Struthio camelus: one gene and its partner. The protein of the gene in region 1 interacts with the protein of each later gene in a pairwise test. Links are inferred from orthologs where the notes say so. Each region holds a gene or a part of one and is shown in the gene's direction. Other genes may lie near its edges.

The links.
Region 2: the proteins of PRKCI (region 1) and PARD6B interact in binary tests that used the Homo sapiens proteins (3 or more experiments, as listed by UniProt). The link is inferred for Struthio camelus from reciprocal best matches to the Homo sapiens genes PRKCI and PARD6B.

Annotation. Positions count from the first base shown.
Region 1 is NC_090950.1:27,956,181-27,965,358, reverse strand, and holds the start of PRKCI (protein kinase C iota type), read left to right. Parts: upstream 1-5,366; 5' UTR 5,367-5,651; coding exon 5,652-5,773; intron 5,774-9,178.
Region 2 is NC_090959.1:10,319,299-10,328,823, forward strand, and holds the start of PARD6B (partitioning defective 6 homolog beta), read left to right. Parts: upstream 1-5,695; 5' UTR 5,696-5,862; coding exon 5,863-5,928; intron 5,929-9,525. UniProt on the Homo sapiens protein: Adapter protein involved in asymmetrical cell division and cell polarization processes. Probably involved in formation of epithelial tight junctions.

The DNA of each region.
Region 1 (9,178 bases):
AATAGATACTTGGTCACCTAGGACCTCATGCCTATCGCTATACTGTATAACACGTATCTGTATCACGTGCACTGCTGCACATCCCTTGCCATGAAAAACGTCATGGCAATAAAATAAAAAAAATAAAAAGCACAAATCCTTACTATTTGAACTGAAGAAAAATATGGCTTTGTTGCTAAAAAGCCAGATCCATTGTGTGTTATAGATGCCATCTATCTACAGCAAAGCACAAGTGAACATATAAGGACTAAGCACTTTACTTCAATAGCAATAAAAACAGCACCACTTCAGAAAGCACTTTACATTAATTTCACATAATACTAATGAAACATATCCTGAAAAAAAGTCTCCTTTAGAGGCCATTAAGCATACATCAAAATATTTACACCTAAAACTTGTCTAGCTAGTTTTAGCAATGTTATGCAACCAACTCAATTACTCTAAAAAAAACAACACTAAGTGTTTTATTTCCATAGCTCTTACATACATATTTAAGATCTACTATCAGCAAGGTGTGCAATGCATTCCACTCTACCAGCTATTCCACCAAAGTTCACTACTGCCCCATGCTCGCAGTCAATCCTTTAGCTTAAGGTGTCTCATCATATTTTCAAAAATAATTTTATTATTGTCCAAGTTATTCATGCAATGGCTATATGAAGAAAATCAAACAGGAGCGAGCCCCTGAACTCTCGTTCAGCACAGCCTGGCACTGAGCTGCAGCTCCAGTCCTCCTCTATTAGCACGTTTGACCCAGTATCAGTTAGAGGTGATACTTGATCCTTGCTTGGCCACCCTGAGGTCCAGCTGCAGTGTTCAGCACCAACGTGCATAAACACCAGGCCCTCTGTAGGCTGAAGTGACACTTGTTTGAAACCTCTCTTCACTGTAAGGGAGCAGGGATTGGTTTAAGGATAATGGGAAATAAATAAAACGTGCCTTTTTTAGCAAGAAAACCAAGAATCCATTAATAACTTGGCAGATAAATCTCTGTCAAAAGTGTTAAAAAAATACAGAGTTAAAGTCAGACTGCTTTTATAGCATTACTTTCATCTGCCTCACAGCCCTGTATATGCAGAGACCACTTCTAAATATAAAGAAATCATGCCTAGCTCTTGCTGAGACATAAGCAAGATTCTGAAATTGTGCAAGGACGCTACAAAATTAAAGAGCCAAAGCGCCTAACCCGTAGCAAAGTTAAATTTGAAAAATGCATGAGTAGGCTTGTGTGATGACACCGCCTGTGAGCGGCTCACTTTAACTCAAAAGGTCCCCTCCAACGCTCGAGTAACTTTTAGAAAATGCAGCAACTAACTCTAACTTTAAACGACCACTACGCTTTCAAAAGTGACATTGAAAAACAAAACAGAACAAAAAAACTACTCTGAAAAGAAGTATTTATTTAAAGGAGTGACAGTATGGGACACTGCATAGTTTACAGCACGCGTAACGCAAACAGTGAGAAGTTTTGTTTTGTTTATATATCGAGACGTAAATAATAGTTCTGGGTCGAAGCACATATCCAGAGAAAGGTCAAAAAATTATCCCACACCAATAGCCTTAAGCTGCAATGACAGCATATACTCATGCCACTAGCCATTTTTGTATTTTGGAAAGCTTGATTTTTAGTAAGTGAGGTAGCAAAGAGGAACACTGTTGCTCTTCAGCAACCAAGACACACGAAAACAGAGTCCTTCATTTTTCACGTACATATCCACTCAACTCATCGCCGCTCCTTACAATTGCAAGAGAACATGATTTAAAAAAAAAAAAAAAAAAAGACTTTTTTCTCCCAAACTAAATCCCAGGTGGGTTTTTCGTGCACGAGGAAGACAGAGCACCAACCCCCCCCCCCCCGCCCCTTTTCCTCCCCGCCAGGTCCATACGTGCTAACACCGCCCAAGGCTCGCTTTAGCTTTTCTTTTGGGGTAGAAAAGGGGAACCAAAGCCGCGCTCCGCGCCAGCCCCAGCCCCGGCCGCGCCACACGACGCGGCCGCTCGGCGAAGCGGCGTCGAGGCGCCACCCGGCCGCAGCCGGCGGCTCCGGGCCGGGCCGGGCCGGCCCTCGGGCACGGGCGATGCCGCGGGCCGGGCCGGGCCGCTCCGAGGGCCGCGCAGCGCCGCTCCCCGCCGGGCCGCGCTGCCCCGGGCGGGGAGGCGGAGAGGCGGCCGGTTCCCCGCGCGGGGCCGGCTGAGGTCGGGGCGCTGTCAGGGCGCGGGTCCCCGCCTACGCGCCCCGCCCCGCCCCGCCGCGGCCTTGGCCGCGCTTCCCCCTCCTCCGCGCGTCCCGCCGGGAGACTCGCCTCGGACGGGCCGCTCACTCCGCTTCCGCCATCTTCTCACCTCCCTCACGGGGAGGCGCTGCGCAGGCGCGCTGGGCGCCGCCGCCGCCGCCGCCGCCGGGCACGTGACCCGCGCGCCGCCATGTTGCCGGCGGGCGACGTTTTCGGGCCGTGGTAGGGACCCGCTTTGCGGCCGTGTCGTCGCGCCCCTCTCGGTAGCTTCTGTGCTGGAGAGGGAAGGCGGAGGCAGGGAGCAGCGGCCCGGCTGGGGCAGAAGGGCCCGGCCTCCCTCCCTGCCCGCGGTGGCTGTGGCGATGGGCGTCGCAGCCTCTCCGCGCAGCGGGCAGGAGCGTTTTAGCTTCGCTGTGGCAGAGCTGAGCTAGGTACGGCCGGGGGCTGGCACCAGTAGGTTTTGCTCGTTTGAGTCCCCAGCTGTACTAGAAAAAGGAAGGAGGGTACGCGCATCGCTCTGAGAGCGCTTTCGGCAGGTTGCGGTTCGGAGAGTGGTTGCCCTCAGTGCTTTTCCATGCCGATGGCTCTGGGGCTTCAGCTGCTTTTCAGCAGTCGCACCACGTTGGTGGTGAACTTCTGACTTGTCTGAGGAACACAAAACGAAGGGTCTTTTAGCCCTCTAGCTTTCAGTCCCTTCCTATGAAACACTGGCTCAGAGCCTTTCCCTGCTGTAGGGATTTTTTTTTCCCCCCAAGACCATCTCTCCCTCTAAAGTGACCATGATTGATAAGAGCTGAATTACATCATTAACTCCCATCTGTAGACAGTAGTTGCTGCCTGTTATCTAGCATAGATGAGGCAAAGCCCAGCCTCCTTACAGATAAGTAGTCACCTCACCAGGTAATGCCTAATTCGAATCTCACAGGGGACATCTTGACAAACTCATTCAGCACCTCTCCCTCTCCTCTTCATGAAATGTCTTGCTGTGATGAAGAAACGCCTTCCAGATCGTAGAAGTACATAAGGAACGTTACACACAGCCTTCGGGTATACCAGTGTTTACAATGTTGCTTTTGTTCCCTTTATGCTCTCTTAGATCTGTGTGACAAGACATGGCACACTGTCTATGTAATGGAAAAGTCTTCATAGTTCAAAGTGGACTCTGCCCCCTCTTCCATGGCCCTTTTTGGAGAGAGAAGTGAGATTCTGCCAAAATCAGCTGACTGTACTTAGATCATCAAGGTTGAGAGGTGGTGAGCAATAACGGTCTACCTTTAGGGATAAAGACTATGGCTGATGGGGACAAAGATTCTCTCTAAAGTTGGTTCTGGAAAAAGATTTTGTATACCGTCCTCTGGGTTTTAAAATAAAAGCAACATTTCAGCTCCCCAGTTAACAGAGGGAGAATTCTCTATTGTAGCGTTTGGAAAATGCTCAACATAGTTATAACCCACCAGATATTTTCTAGCAGGATTGGCAGACACTGGCTAAGGAACCACAGCTAGGTCCGGTTTTTTATTTTGGGTTTTTTTTTTTTACTAGCTTTGAGGACGCTGCCAAATCCTTGAGTGTCATCTGCTGGTGGACTGAAATGCTTCAGTGCCAGAAGCTTCTACAAACAGGAATCTTCTCCTCATGCTATCTAGTTATTTTATTCTTTGACAAAATTGGTAGGAATGCCAGTAGGCTATTCTTTAACTCCCGGGCCCACCACAATAGAAGACTGCGCCATCGCTCATTTCTGATTCATTAGTAATCTTGGCAGAAATTGTTTCATCCGTGGGTACTGACACAGAACCAAGGGTGTGAACAAAGATGAGAATTAGTTAAAAACTTGATGAAAAACTGAACAATAATAGGATCAAATAGCTGAATAGAGCTCAGCAATATGTTTTTCTGCAACTAAATTGCTGTTTCCTCAGCACAGTTTTGACCAACTGGGAGTTGGACACAAAAGAAAAAAAAATTGCCAGATGTTTAGCTGCCAGTTGGGATAAGTACGTACTTGGCAAAGAAAAAGGACCTCAGCAAGCATCTCACAAAACGCAAACACTTTCCCAAGCATCATAGACAAGCTCAGACTGTCAGAGGGTGAAGCAGTCAGACTGGCTACAGGTAAACTGCCAGTGATGAGTAGTGATACTGATCCCTGGTCAGATGAGGAGGTCTGGTTTCTGTAAAGACACCACAAGATGATCCAGTACAAGAAAACTGGAATTATCATAGGTTGAAAAAGAGAGTTGTAGGGAAAATGAAGACTCATGCAGGAATAGTCCACAGATGCTGCAAGAAAAATGATGAAACGTTGGAAGTGCTGAGCAAGGGGTTCATGAGTTCAGATACGGCAGGGTATTTCCAGTTGTAAGAAAAGGATGTAAGACTTGGAGCAAATGACCTTCTGAGGAAAAAAACAAATGCTACGGGCAGGTTAGGTGTCATGAAAAAGTTTCTGTACTGTGTACTTAAGGAAGATAGCCAATATGGCCTGAGTTACTTTACCACCAAGATGAGAAACTGTGACGCAGGCTGATCAGAAGGTGCGTATCTTACATAGGAGCCTGTAAGTGAACCTGGAAAAGCTAAACTTCATGCTGCTCTGAAACAAAACAGCCAGGCACGATGCTGTTCGGAGCATGGAGGCAGCAGTGGAAAAAAATAAGTGTTTTTACTACAACAGAACAAAACAGAGGTTAGTTCTAGATTACGCTCAGTATTAAGCTCCCGACGTTTTAGGAGCGCCAGGGTAGTACCGCAGGTATTTCTGACTCTCTTAAGCCTTGAAAGAGGGAGAAGCCCTATCGGTAAGGAAGTGAAATTACAAGTTTTCTTCCTCTTCCTCCTTTTACAGGCGGAGCCGCGGCTGTGGTCAAGCTGTGCCAAACGTGGAGCAAGCCGCTGTCAAAGTCATACGAGAAGAAACGGCCCAAAGCCCGGCAGCCCCCGGTAAGCCGCACCCCGCCGCCGTGTTTGCCGCTGGCCGGCGCCCGGCGCGCAGGCGCAGACGCGGCGGCGGCGGCGGGGGCCGGCAGTCCCGGCAGCCCCTGCGGCGGCACGCCCAGGCCGTACCAAGCGGCCGGGGAGACGCTGCTGCCGTCCCTCCCCCCTCCGCCCCGCCCCGCCCCAGCGCAGGGCGCAGGCGAGTGGCCCCCGCGGCTCTCCGTACCCCGCCCCGCCTTCTCGCCGCCGCCGCGTGGGCCGCCCCGCGGGGCGGGGACGAGCCCACGGAGCACGAGCATGAGGGGGGCGGGCAGCGCCCGGCTCTCCCGCCGCGGGCGATCGGCCTGAGCCGCGGCTCCGCTGCCGGCTTCTCCTCCCTGCCCCCGCCCGCGAGGCCCCGCAGAGCGGAGCGGGGCCGGGGCGCGGCGGAGAGCCGCGGAGTCGCCCGGCCGCCGCCCGCCCGCCTGCCGCCGCGGGGGGATGCCGACGCAGCGGGACGGCGGCGGCAACGGCACCATGTCCCACTCGGGTCCCGCCGGCGGAGGGGGCGGCCTCGGCGGCGACAGCGCCCACCAGGTCCGCGTGAAAGCCTACTACAAGGGGTGAGTGGCGGCCGCGCCCGCGGGCAGCTTTCCGCCGCGGCTCCCGGCTCGGCCCGGCGGCGCCGCGCTGCCCTTTCCCTCCGCGGCGCCGCGGCGGCGGCGGCGGCGGCGGGGGGGGGGGGGGGGGCGCGGCCCCGCTCGCTGCTTGGCTCGAAGTTTAAAGGAAACTCTTTATCTCGGGGCTAAGCGGAGCGATAGCGCTGGTATGCATGGTTTTGGCTGCACGGCATAGGCTCCTCTGCGGTCCCAGGGAGCAGCGGCTTGAGAACATTCGTGCTTTTCCCGCAGTTACCGCAATAAAGCGTACACGTCCTCATCTCTCGGAATAGTTTACCGGGTTGAGGTTTCTGTCCATGGTGGTGATGAAAATGTGATATTTTAATTATTGCGTTTTCGCTGCGTTTACCGATAATGTTAAAATGTCGAATCCTAGATGCCCGGTTCTTGGAGAGGAAAAGGGGGATAAAAAAAGAAACAGGAAAGCTTGCTGCCAAACAGCTGCATTAAAATGGCTTTCAAGTGATGTTCTGAACTAAGCTGAAACTGGCAGGGCTTGTGCTCAGTGGAGCCTCTCCTCAAGGTGTCAGATTTCACCGAGCTGCCTGTGGGATGAGGCATTCAGGGGAGAGGTGATGAACTGAACCCATATGGACTGAGCGGCCTCAAGATATCAGTCTTCCTGCGATACCACTAAACATAAATAAGGATGTGTCCAGATAACTACTTCTTCCCTATGCTTCTTCTCACCTTGGCTTCCCATGCGTTCTGATTCCACCTTATCGTTTGCCTGCTGTTAGTTATAAGAGCATAGTACTCGATAACGTTTTCCTGAGAGTAAAAAATCATACTTAGAAAATATGCTTAGGGTCAAGATCCAAAGGAAGAGGGTAGTACTTGGCTGAGAACCTAGGTCATTGATTTTCAGGCTGCGCTTCACAGGGGCTGATTGACTTCTGAGGGAGTTGGTGGATGGTAACTAAGACGCATCCACTGTCAATCGTGCTTCCACTGTAACCAGTGCTAGGGGTCTGCACAATGGAAATCTGAACCCTGTCAGTGGTTCTCCAACAGCAGTATATCACGCCGGAGAAAGTATTCTGCTCGGAATTGACAAACTCATGTTAAAAATAACGGTTACAGGACCTAAATGTAAAAGTTGGTCAGCCAGGTTTGACAGTGGATCTTTGGGCCAAGAAGTTCGGAGGCAAGTGATCTAAACAAAAAATGTAGGTTGCATTTTTTTGGATAGAGATTGGATTCGAGACGCATTCACTGATAATTGGAAGGAAGCTGCTATTGAAGTAAAGGAAAAATGTCATTACATCTGTAGTATTTACTATTTAGTAACGTGAATATCTGATGTCTCTAACCGTATAATTTTAATGAGAGGTGTAAGGACCACACTGAGCATTTAGTATTTGTAAATACATTAATTTCTGACCTATTTCTGTTCTAGGGCTTTTCTTGACAAAGGTCTATAAAAGTGCCGTAGTGATTGGCACAATCTGTGACTTGAAAATACCTGTGAAATGTTTTCAGAGTAATAAAATGGGAAATTCTCAGCTGTTTTACTGTCATTGCAATCCACCATCCTAAAGAAGTGGAGATGCCTCTGGCTATTAACTGGCACAACTGTTCATTTGATTAGACACTAATGAACTAAAGTGGGAACTGTTCTGGGTTAAAACTATTTTTCTTCTGCTGGGTCAGTTTTAATCTTGATCGTTTCCCTGTGCAATCACACGAATGCTTGCTGTAGCACAGGGAGGCTATGGTGCGGGAGTAGAGAGAAAGCAGTTCAGGGCTGTGGGAGTAAGGAATAAAACCGCTACACTGGACAGCAGTGCTAGCTCATGGCATTTTAAATATTTGGTAATAATTTCACAGACACTGAAATGTTTCTTTTGAATCTCGTTCACTGACTTCTTATCTATTAACGTAATTGTCAGTTCACATGTAATAATGAAACTGAGTCACGCAGGGAGTTGGTTAACTATTGTTAATACAAACAAACAAGCTGGAATGCCTTAGTCATAATTTCTTTCAAGATCTAAACAAATTAATCTCTCTACTTTCCTGAAACAAAAGGTCTTATGCCCACTTCTCAGACTAGCACTGTCAAGAAATGGATATCAGAGCAAAACATTTTACCTGCACTTAGTCTGAGATCACTTGGGAACAAAGGACCTAAATCCTGATATAAAGGCAGCATTTTCCCTTTTATCTGTTAAACTATCTCGAGATTAGAGTTGGACAGAGGATTTTACAGGGAATGGTATTAATCAGAAAAGGTTACTCTCTCTTTTAATTTGTTTCAACAGTAGCATTTAAACGGGATGTAAAAGTTGTGGAAGTCTCACTGCAAAGGTCTTTTCAGCCCCTGGAAGGAATTTCTGGTCCAAACAAAACAAAACAAACAAACAACAACGAAACAGCAACTGGGAAGCATAGATCCATTCTTGAAACAGTTTGTAACCTGACAGTCAGGCTACTCACCTGGTTCTCAAGACATGACTCTTACTAACTCAGACCAAAGAGCTGGCTCTGAATCCCTGTAACATAGGTTAGTCTGGCTAGGAGCCTAATTGCTTTTCTCAGCTGCAGTTAAGACTTTCATGAAGAACTCTTTGAACGGTCTTTGTTTCCTTCTAGTGTTCAATAGAAATTCTTTATCTTAAATTCATGAAGCATGTGAAACCAGGAAAGAAAATTTTCCTAAAATGAAGAAAGATCATGGGAATAAGGGTATGGCAATTCCCAGAGACCTGGGAGTTAGGGCATAAGCTGAATTTACCTGGCATTTCCTTCTCTCAGGTAAGTTGCACTTACCTTCCTAATAGGACTAGTTGTTTAAAATGCTGCAAGTAACCTCTTTGAAGGAATTATCATATTCTGTGCGATATATGTAATAGAGGTTGCTGAGTGAGCACTTAGGAATTTGCTCTCTTACACCAAATGTTTACATATACTTCAGATTTTTGTTGATACAGTAACCAAGTTTAGCAGTTTCAAATACTGTACTTGAACAGCTCCTGTAGTTACAAGCATTTCAGTGTTCTAATTTTTGTTCAAAGTTTACTTTCTGGCTCTTCTAATTTGTTTGTCTGTTTGCAGATAATTTTGGTCAGTTCTGTACAAGAAAGCTATTCTGTCAATATTACGTAAGAAGAGGATGGCAGTGCAGTGGTTGAGAGCAGCTATAGGAATAAGTAGAGCACTGCTTGTGCACTATGAATTCTGTAGAATTAATGCTGCTGATAAATCTTGAAGAACCTTCTTTTCTGTCATGGTTAAAAGTGCTAGCTTGCTTCCTTTCAGTGACTGACATAGGTTTTAAACCTATCTGAACTACGTAGGCTGTAATTCAGGATAGACTTTTAGTATAGCTAAAGGCATAGGTTACCA
Region 2 (9,525 bases), on another chromosome or scaffold:
TCTAGTCATAAACATTAATGAATTATTTTAAAAACTGTTGTCATATTTTTGGAGTTGGATGCAGCTAGCATTTGCAAAACTAATTAATTTCCTCACAGTTGGACAGGTAACAGAAATATGGCAGGTCCTGCCTTTACTTCCCTTTCTTCAAGTATTTCTATCAAAGCACTTTTAGTTCGACTCAGCAGTAGGGCCAACTTTGCAGACACTCATTTGTTTCTAGTAATTCTGGAAGAAACCAGACAGAAGAACAGGCTAGCACAAGAAAAGGCAGTTAAATTCAGGATTTCTAAAGGAGTATCTGTGGCGTTACGGGACAGGAGAGACTTGCTTAGAATAGTGATATACAAACTCACTACTAAGGGATGTCAAAATTAGATAGTGACAAGCAATGCAGTGCTTGAATATCACATCCTGCAGAAGCAGAGGACACAGAGACAACACATGCCAATCCAGTTGTGAAGCACGGTATTGTGTAACAGTAGGTGGACGATTATAAAAGATTAAACAGTTAGGATCTGTAGTAGCTAGTTCACTTTAAAGCTCAAATGTTATCCTTCTTTGATAGGAAATCAATTTTAACAACTGATGAAGCCAAATACTTTCCTTTATAAAAACACTGTATGGTCACAAATAATTTTAAGATGTATCAGTGCAATTCAATAAAAAAAAGGTTCCTTTGTAGCAGAAGGCATAAGCACTCATTATTCAACAGATGGCACTTAATGTGTTACTTATTCTAGGTTACAGACACTATCAGAGGATACTACTTCTACACACAAATAGTGATAACATGCAAGGTACTTTCCAGACAAGCTTAAAAGCAAAGTCTTTATTCTCAAAAAATAAAATTCTGAACTGCAGCAGTGTGCAACTTAAAAGAAAATTCTGAGCAATTACTCCTTTGATCTATCATAATTTTTCCAAATTATAGATCTGGAATACTCCCTGAGTAACGGAAAGATAAGAAACTGATGTTCACAAATCACTTTGAGGAAAGGAACTCTGAAGTGCTATCTATAAACCTTTATAGCTCTAACATAGGTGATGTTTTCTTTAGAACACTTTAGCCATAAGAGGTAAGTCATTAAGGTGTACACATGCGTGCAAAGCGTGAGATGTCAGCTGTGATTAGTACTACTGTGTTTAATTAATGACAGAGTTTCAAACTGATCCAGAGTCATTGAATAGAAATGAAGGAGTACTAGATGAATGAGAAGAAAAAGCTTTAAAAGCCTGTAATTTTATTTAGAAAACTCAGTACAAATCAGTATATCCGTGTGAACTTTTGACTTGTTAGGCAAGCAGTTTCAGAATTTTATCACCACAGCAGCAGCCTCCACACAAGAATAATCATAGAAATATACTACAGATCACCTATTGGTGGGACAAGCAACATACTTACAAAAATACATCCTCTGGAAAAGGCCTGATGTTAGAGCTAATTGAAAGTCAGAATTTCAATTCAGAATAAAAAGCGGAAATTTCTGCAGAGGTAAGAAAATTTGAAATAATTCACAAATTTTTCTTACCTACTAAAAAAATAACCCCACAAAAGTACACCCTGAGGATTTCCTCAGCAGTTGATCCTGAAGCCAGAAGCATCAAGACTTTTCCTTTGAGGACTCAGAAGCCTAACCCTGGAGTCCTAAACAGGGCTGGCTTTCACAGTGCTTCCATGTTTGTGACAGTCACAGTTCTGCAACAAGAAGCATGACAGCTTTGGTGTCCCCGGCTCTTACAGTACATTACTGTTAGTCACCCCTTTCCACCTGCACACGTCTTCCTGATTTTGAGTAGATTCCTAGATAACTTTAATTAGCAGGAATATTTGTGAGAATAAGTTTAAATGTTTTTGAAAAATTGGATCTAGATTGGATGTAGCATGGAAGTAGCACACCATAAACAAATATTTATTTGACAGCATGATATAAAGACAGCTTTTCACATAAAGCCAGATGAAACAAAATAAAGTATTCACGGAAAAAAAAAAAAAACCCACAACCCTAGAAAACTAGAAATAGTTATTGAAAAAGATTTCATACATGTACTTTAAAAATAATCAATCCATTTTGTCACTGAAAGAAGTTAATTGTTTTGCTGACAGACAAAAAAGAAAGCAGAGACAGAATTGGAATACAAATTCTTGCATCCTAACTCTGGTTATTCTTCTGGTCCATGCTATCTTTAGCAGGTGAAGTAACAGTAGTTCTTCAATAGACAATTTAAATATTCTGTCATATCTATTTACTGAGCAAAAAAAATAATTTGAAGTGTACATTCATTTGGACTCGCATGCTCCCAGCATGTTAGAGGTAGGTATTTAAAACTAGGTTCTTTACACAGTTTACATAGTTCTTTAATTTTTTTTTTAGATACACAACCATTCCTCAAGCTTTCCCAGGTAGTTGTTCCCCCCCCCCCCCCCCCCCAAAAAAAAGAAAAAAGAAAAAAGATGAAATCTAGCCAGAAAAGGAGAAGCAGTCCTTTGCCAGAGGGCATTTTTGAGCTGCACTTAGTATACTTGTACCTGTACAGCTGCTACATTGTCGGTATGATTGTACTGTACTGCTATTTTCTGTACAGGAAAAACAATGTACTTTTATTTCACTACTTCCATGCTAAGAGTCATATTTTATAACTGTACAGCAGAAAATCAAATTCATCTATTAATAAAACAACGGTTGAAAATTTTGGGGAGCCAGTTTTGGTTCTGTTAAAAAAAAAAACACACACACACATATTTCCACAATTGTCATGATTCCAGGGTAAGAAGATCAGTTTTTATTACACACCTTTGTTATTTAAATATTACTATTATTAATAAATATGCTAAAATGCCATGTAATAAGGTCTACATGATAAGCTTTGCTCCAGTGTCTATATTTGCTGTAGGCATAAACAGTATTTAATGGAGATAAAATATAAAGCTACCCTTCTCAAATTCTTTCAATCTAATGCAACATTTGCAAATTCAGATATCCTGCTCAGGGGTCACAAGTACCAGCACAAAGTACTTACTTTTATTTACATGGCTACCTATAAATAGTGCTTTGTAATATTATTTGCATTTGTGACCCTCAGCTATCTCTAAGACAAAAACGGTCTCTACTCTTCACTGATTAAGGGCAAGGGAAAAGGCAAGGGACTGTGATTTGAGGTCACATATGTCACTGGTACTCTGAAAAATGCAGGGTATATACTTTTCCTGAAAACTCCTCTCTTTGTAGGGAAAAAGAACTAGTATGCAATAGACTGATCTATCAAAATTGTAACACTTTAAGTTAAATGTAAGAACAACATAAGCCCTAAATTATACAACAAAAGTTTTGGTGGGTTATCAGTATCAGTCAACATACACTGGCAGGCATTTTCTGTGTTTTATTCTTGGAAGCAATCCTTCAGCTCCTCGGAGGGCTATATTTCATATTCTATTTAAAAAGTAGGAAGTCTTGAGATGGGAAAGATGCATTACAGCAAAATCTCACTTATACTGCATGGTAGTCTTAGTGATCTAATTTCCACACCAAAACAAACTAAGAAAAAAAAAGCCCTCTCCAAAAACTTCCCCAACTACCACAGATTAGGAAACCCAACCTGTCTTTCAACTTCACAAAAGCTGAAACTGAACATGCCATGAATACTTGATCAGGTCTGAATCACAGGTTTTAGAGAGCTTGTGACTAAAATAGCTCTACAAACTTGTGCTACTCCTGGCACAAAAAGCCTGCCTTTCTCCTACCTTTATCAGAAATCAAGTTGTTTATCACATTCCTTCCTCATTTATCAGTTCCTTGTGATGAAAGCAACTCAGTGATTAATACTTTTTATTACGTTGGTTCCAGTGACTTGAAATGAATTTGCCCTGACTCTTTAAGCATGCTACCACACCCACTGCATGGAACTCAAGCAATTCTAGGAATGCAAGACAGAAAACAAATCTTAGGCTATAGCCCATAAATCTATAGCCATAAAGCCAACTGTATGATGGCTTCAAGCACAACACTTCTTCAGGAGGTGTTTTTTTTTTTTTTTTCCTAAAGAAAAAGGCAAATCAACTGCTTTAGAAAACCTGGAGAAGGCACTGTTCTCTTCTGTCTTGCACTCTTCTCTGCGCTTTCCTACAGCTCATTAAGCAAAGTCGGCTGTAGAAGGCAGAAATGGAAAGTAGTCCAAAATCTTTTCAGTTTTGCTAACTACCTAACTACAAAGTGACAAAATAAGAGGTTTTATCTGTATCTTGCTCACATAGCTGCAATCTACTGTCTTCTGTTTACCACAGCATCATAGATTTTATGTAAATTTAGGGACTGAATTCTCTATATAACATTTTGCCGGTGTAAACACAGAACAGACTGCGTAAAGGACACAGAACAGACTGCGTAAAGGACGTGAAGATGTGAACTTGCCCAGACACTGACTGACAGCAAACTATACTTAACAATTAACAATATCCTCTGTACTAATTAGCGCTTGTCTTGGCTTGAGTGATAGTTGCAATTTCTTTGCCTTTGGCATGACGGCAGTAAGACTGGCTGTCCAAAACAGCACCGACTTGAAAGTGATTAAGCACTGCATGTTCTTAAAAACTACTGATTACCAACTGAGACTTGTGAACTGACTAGACACTCATACCCTGCCTTAACTGCAAAGGGCTGTTTGTCTGCACTCCCTTCACAGCATCCTACATAAAGCCTACATGAGGACGCCTCAAACTGAGTTCTTTTCTACTAGGTTTACAGATTAGGAAGCAATCTGTATTTAGAAGGTATGCTGACATAAGTAGGTTGATCCATGGGCCTTCTTCCTACTAACACATGTAAAATTGTACTAGTAAGGAGTCCTTTTTCTTCAGATTGTAAGGCGTAAACTAATGAGGTTTCTCAGTCCCCCTGCCAGAGTACTGAAGTAGGGGCTTTGAACTGAAGTAACTGCTCTATCTCGGGATTATACCAATATGCAAGGTTACATAAAACAGTCGTTCTGGTTCATATTGCCAGATGCTGAAATATTACTTGCAGTTGAAACAAAAACACGAACTCCAACTTCTCTATGGCACGAATGGACTTTACAGAGGTACCCAGAGGGTAAGAGTTCAAACTTTTGGACTGGTCTAGACATAGTTTAGGTAATCTACAGACAAATAATCTAACAGAGGCGCACTTCGCCTTAAGTGCCCAGAATCCGCCTCGACGCCCGCTGCCCCGCGGGCGCCCTGGCCGGCAGCCGGCGGCGCCGCGACGCTGAGGCGTCTGAGGGGACGGAGGGCCGCGCTCCAGCCGCCGCGGCCCCGCGCTGACACACCAGCGCAAAGGTCGCTCGGCCAGATCCCACACCTGAGAAGGCCTTAGGTCATTAGAGATAGGAGGAAAAAATAAATAAATAACCCCTCCCCACACTTCCTCATACGGACAGCGCCTCACCCTCGCGCGGGCGCCGTGCACGCGTCCTCCATTTTGGAACCCGGACCAAGCGGGCGCAGGTGCGCCACCCCGCTGCCCGGGTGGCGACTGCGCATGCTCGCCAGCGGCAGGTGCGCCGCCCCGCCCTCCCGCCGCCTGCGCCCCGCCCTGCCGCGCAGGCGCCGCGCGCTCTGAGCCGCCCCGCCCCCTGCCTGGCCGCCGGCTCGGCGGCGCGGCAGGTGCCCGCAGCCGCCGTGGCTCCGCCCCCTCCCCCTCCCCTCCCCCCCTCCCCCGGCGGCGCTGTGAGGGCGGCGGCAGGAGGTGGCGGAGCGGCCGCGGGGTGCCGGGGGCGGCTGGCGTCGGGCCCGCGCCGCTCGCCCTTCTGCCTCGCTGCCTTTCCCACCGCCCGCGCGGGGGCTGCGGCGAGAGAGCGGAGCCGGGACAGCGACCCCGCGGCGGCATGAACCGGCCTCACCGCGGCGCCGCGGGCAGCCGGGGCCTCGGCACCATGGAGGTGAAGAGTAAGGTGGGTCCGGCCGCGGCGGCGGCGGAGGGCCGCGTCCGCCGGCGGCGCCGGGGAGAGGGCCCGGCCCGGCCCTGCGGGGCCGCCGTGGAGGAGGGCGGCGGGGCCGCAGAGCTGCTGACTCACCTGCTGGCGGGGGCGACGGCCCGCGGCCGCTCGAGCGCTCCGGGCGGCGGCGGCGGCGTGTCTCTTCCCCCCCCCCCCCCCCCCCCCCGGCAGCCTGCCCGTCCCGGCCGCCCCCCCCCCCGCCCCGGGTCGCTGCCGTGCGGCTCCGGCGGTGGAAGTTTCCTTGTGGCACCGCTCACCGGGTGCGCTGTCTGCGGGGGGGGAAAACTAGTATTTTTATGTGTGTGGGGGGGTGTTTTTAATTTTCATTTAAAAAGCTTGTGGTTTTGGTCCCTTAGTTTCTGCGTTGGTTAAAATACCGTCTAGAGAAGTGGATGGTTTGGGAAAGTTTGGGGGATACCAGGGGACATGTTTTAGAGTCATGATTCATGAACTCCAAAACCTGTTCTTGGTCTAAATGAGGAAAGGAGTGGTTTTGGTTAACTTTAACTATGTGTTTACGTACCTTTCTTAAAGTGGGCTAGAGCTCGCTATATAGCTTGCATTACTTGGTGCAGGTAAGCCACAGCTAACTTATCTTAAACAAACTTGCTTTTCTTTGAAGACTTTCCAAGGTCTTCATAATGGCAATTTTTTAAATGAGCAAATATATCTGTATGTTACCGCTCATAGCAAAAGTTTTTTTTGTTGTCAAAGCTGTGCACAATTCCACCAACCATCTTCTATTGATGTATCCACATCCATTTTTTTTCTACTGTTTCTTCTTAATGCAGATTAGGCATAGTTTTGTTGGAAAAACTTTAAATTTTTGAGAGGCAGTACATTATCTTTTGATTTATATTTCTGATGTTTTGTTGGCTTGTCATTCAGCTGTTATCAATTGTAGGGGTGTTGGATCTGTGGTATTAGTTGGTGTGTCATTAGTTAAATGAACGCATGTAACTTGAGTTAAAAACACTTTCTCTTTGTCTAGGCAGACTGTAAGTGCACCTATACAGAAATGTGTTTTCCTCCATTGGTACAAAACATATCTGTTGTTCAGATTTTATAAGTGGTCTACAGTTTGCTGTTGGAGCGTTAGAGCTGCAGTATGTGCGTAGCAGACAGGACTGAAGTTGTTGTGTGGGCTTTTGTTGTTAAGGATAATGTGACTGTGCTGAAGTTTCTCCTGGAAAACAGCTAGGTTGCATAGGTAATAGTGATTTTTAGGAGAAAAAAAAAAAAGTGGACTTAACCTTTAAGTGGACAAAATCAAAACGCACAGGAATACCTGGTAGCCCTGATTCCAAATGGTAGCGAAGCACAGCTGTGGCTCTGATTGGCGAAATCTCTTTCATTTATGCACTTTTAAGGTTGAGAACAGCCAGAACAATGTGTTTATGAGCAAAGTACTTACTGCCTCAGCGCAGAACTCTAGGCCTGTTGGTTCCTCTGTCATGTATTTTGCTTGATTAAGAATGGGATGAAAGTTTCTAGGAATCAGCTGAGATGCATTCTTTGTTATTTGTGTAGAAAAATGTAGAGGTTCTAATGAATAGGGACTGTCTCTTAAGTGCATATCATAAAGTGAGTTCCAAGGCATTCCTAGAATTACTTGTCACTAATGGATTATTTAAAGTGCATTGATTTAATATACCGTAGACGTCATCTCCCTTTTATGAGAGTAAGAAGAATTCTGAGAGAGGAAGAAGAAAGGAGTGTGTGGGAGGTGAAGTGGAGCGTTACTGTGGAGTGGTCTAGGCTTTGAAGGCTTATCAGCGATGCACAGGTCTTGATTATTGATTTGGAGTATCTCAATAATGCCCCAACTGACAAACTATGCCAACATACCCCAATTGTATTTGCAGTTGTATGAGCAAAATCTTTTTGTTAGTCAATTTTATTCGATTTAGGTAACTGATCTGAACTTGCCTTGGGGAATCTCCATAATATATTTATTCCAGTTAACCCTTTCTCTAATCTTAGACAAGTAAGTTTTATACCCCAACCTAGAGTTTTTGGTGATGGTATGAAAGTCCCAACATAAACTTTTGTTATGGTTTTTGTCTTCTCTCTCTATGTTCTGTTTTAGAATTATGTTCTTTGCAGAATGAAATCTAATATGCTGATAAAAGAGGCCGTGTATGGTTGCTGTAGTTCATGTCCTATTACTATAGCAGTCTGCTGGAGGCTGCTGTCATAGTATGGTGGCAATATGATATGTTATGAGATGAGGCATCTTTGTCCTCTGTAAGAAAATGTATTTTGTTTAAGAAAGACCATAATATATTGAGTAAGCATCTCTAGTAACTTCTTAGTATGTTTACATGGCTTTTGCTGCGTTTTCTCAGATGAGTTACTAGTGAGACATCCTGTGTGTGTAAAGAGCTCAAGTGACAAGTAGCCCTCTCAATTTAGTCTCCCAGTCTCTCCTCTCATTATAACTCCTTCTGAGTTGTTAATGCTAGTGCAGGCTGTTTAATGGCATGGAGTGTAACAATTTATATTAAATGAAAACGTTTCAGTGAGATAAAATAAACTGATGACGGAATTGCATGGTTTTACTTTGTCTCTTTTGTCTGCTTTGTCATAGTATTGAGCATGTTACAAATAGGAATTATGGCCAGATTATTAGTCTCTTGGTATTTGCACCAACTGTTTATAGAATTCTTATTTATCATGTGTTTTATAAAATGCGCGTTTGTGAAAATTGATTCTTTGCCTGCTGCAGCAGCATAGCAGTTGCTCCAAATAGTGTTCTTCTGTTTGTTTGTTTGTTTTTTTTTTAGCACATTACTTAATTGTACTTAAACGGTGTAGTCTTTCAAATCAAAACAATTGAAGTAGATGCAATGAATGGAAAAATCCTGTGGTATTCAAGCTTCAAATGGCTGAAGAAAGACTTAAGAGACAGGATAAGTTCTTACATTGATGTCATAGTTAAGTGTGCTGCTTTTGACCTGAAGGGAGTTCCTCCTGCAGATTTTTTACTTTTGTTACAAGCAGGAATGAATCCTCCCTCCTGCCTTATTGTTAGTTAATGTTACTGTAATTAGAGTATCTATACAAGAGGGATGTTTACAAAGAATTCCCTTATTTAAAAGCTTTGGAGAAAGGTGGAGTGTTGAAGTGCAGAAGGTGTATTTGGGTTGTCTTGTTGTGCTGTATTTGAGTTAGCTCGGTGCTAATGTGCTCACAGTAGGGTCTCCTTATTTTCCTTCCTTTGTATGTCAGAATTCTAAGCCTTTTATTCTCCAAAAGGCTGTAATCAAACAGGAGGAGCTTGGTTTGGAGGCCTGGTAATGTGCTCCTTCACATCTGCCAGTGTAACATACACCCAAGTGTCTGATACTGATGCTCAGACTTTCAGTCAGTGAGTACTGTTGCTGATTGCCTCCTTTATTTTTCTCTTTGGGTAAGAGCAGAAGTGACTTAAGGCTTGGGAGGATGCAAATGCCTCTCTCAAGCTCACTAAAGTTTTACTGCACTTGGTTAGTACTAAAAGCCAGCAGTCATTCTTTGTATTCTTCAGGTCAAAATGGCTTTTTATTTCTG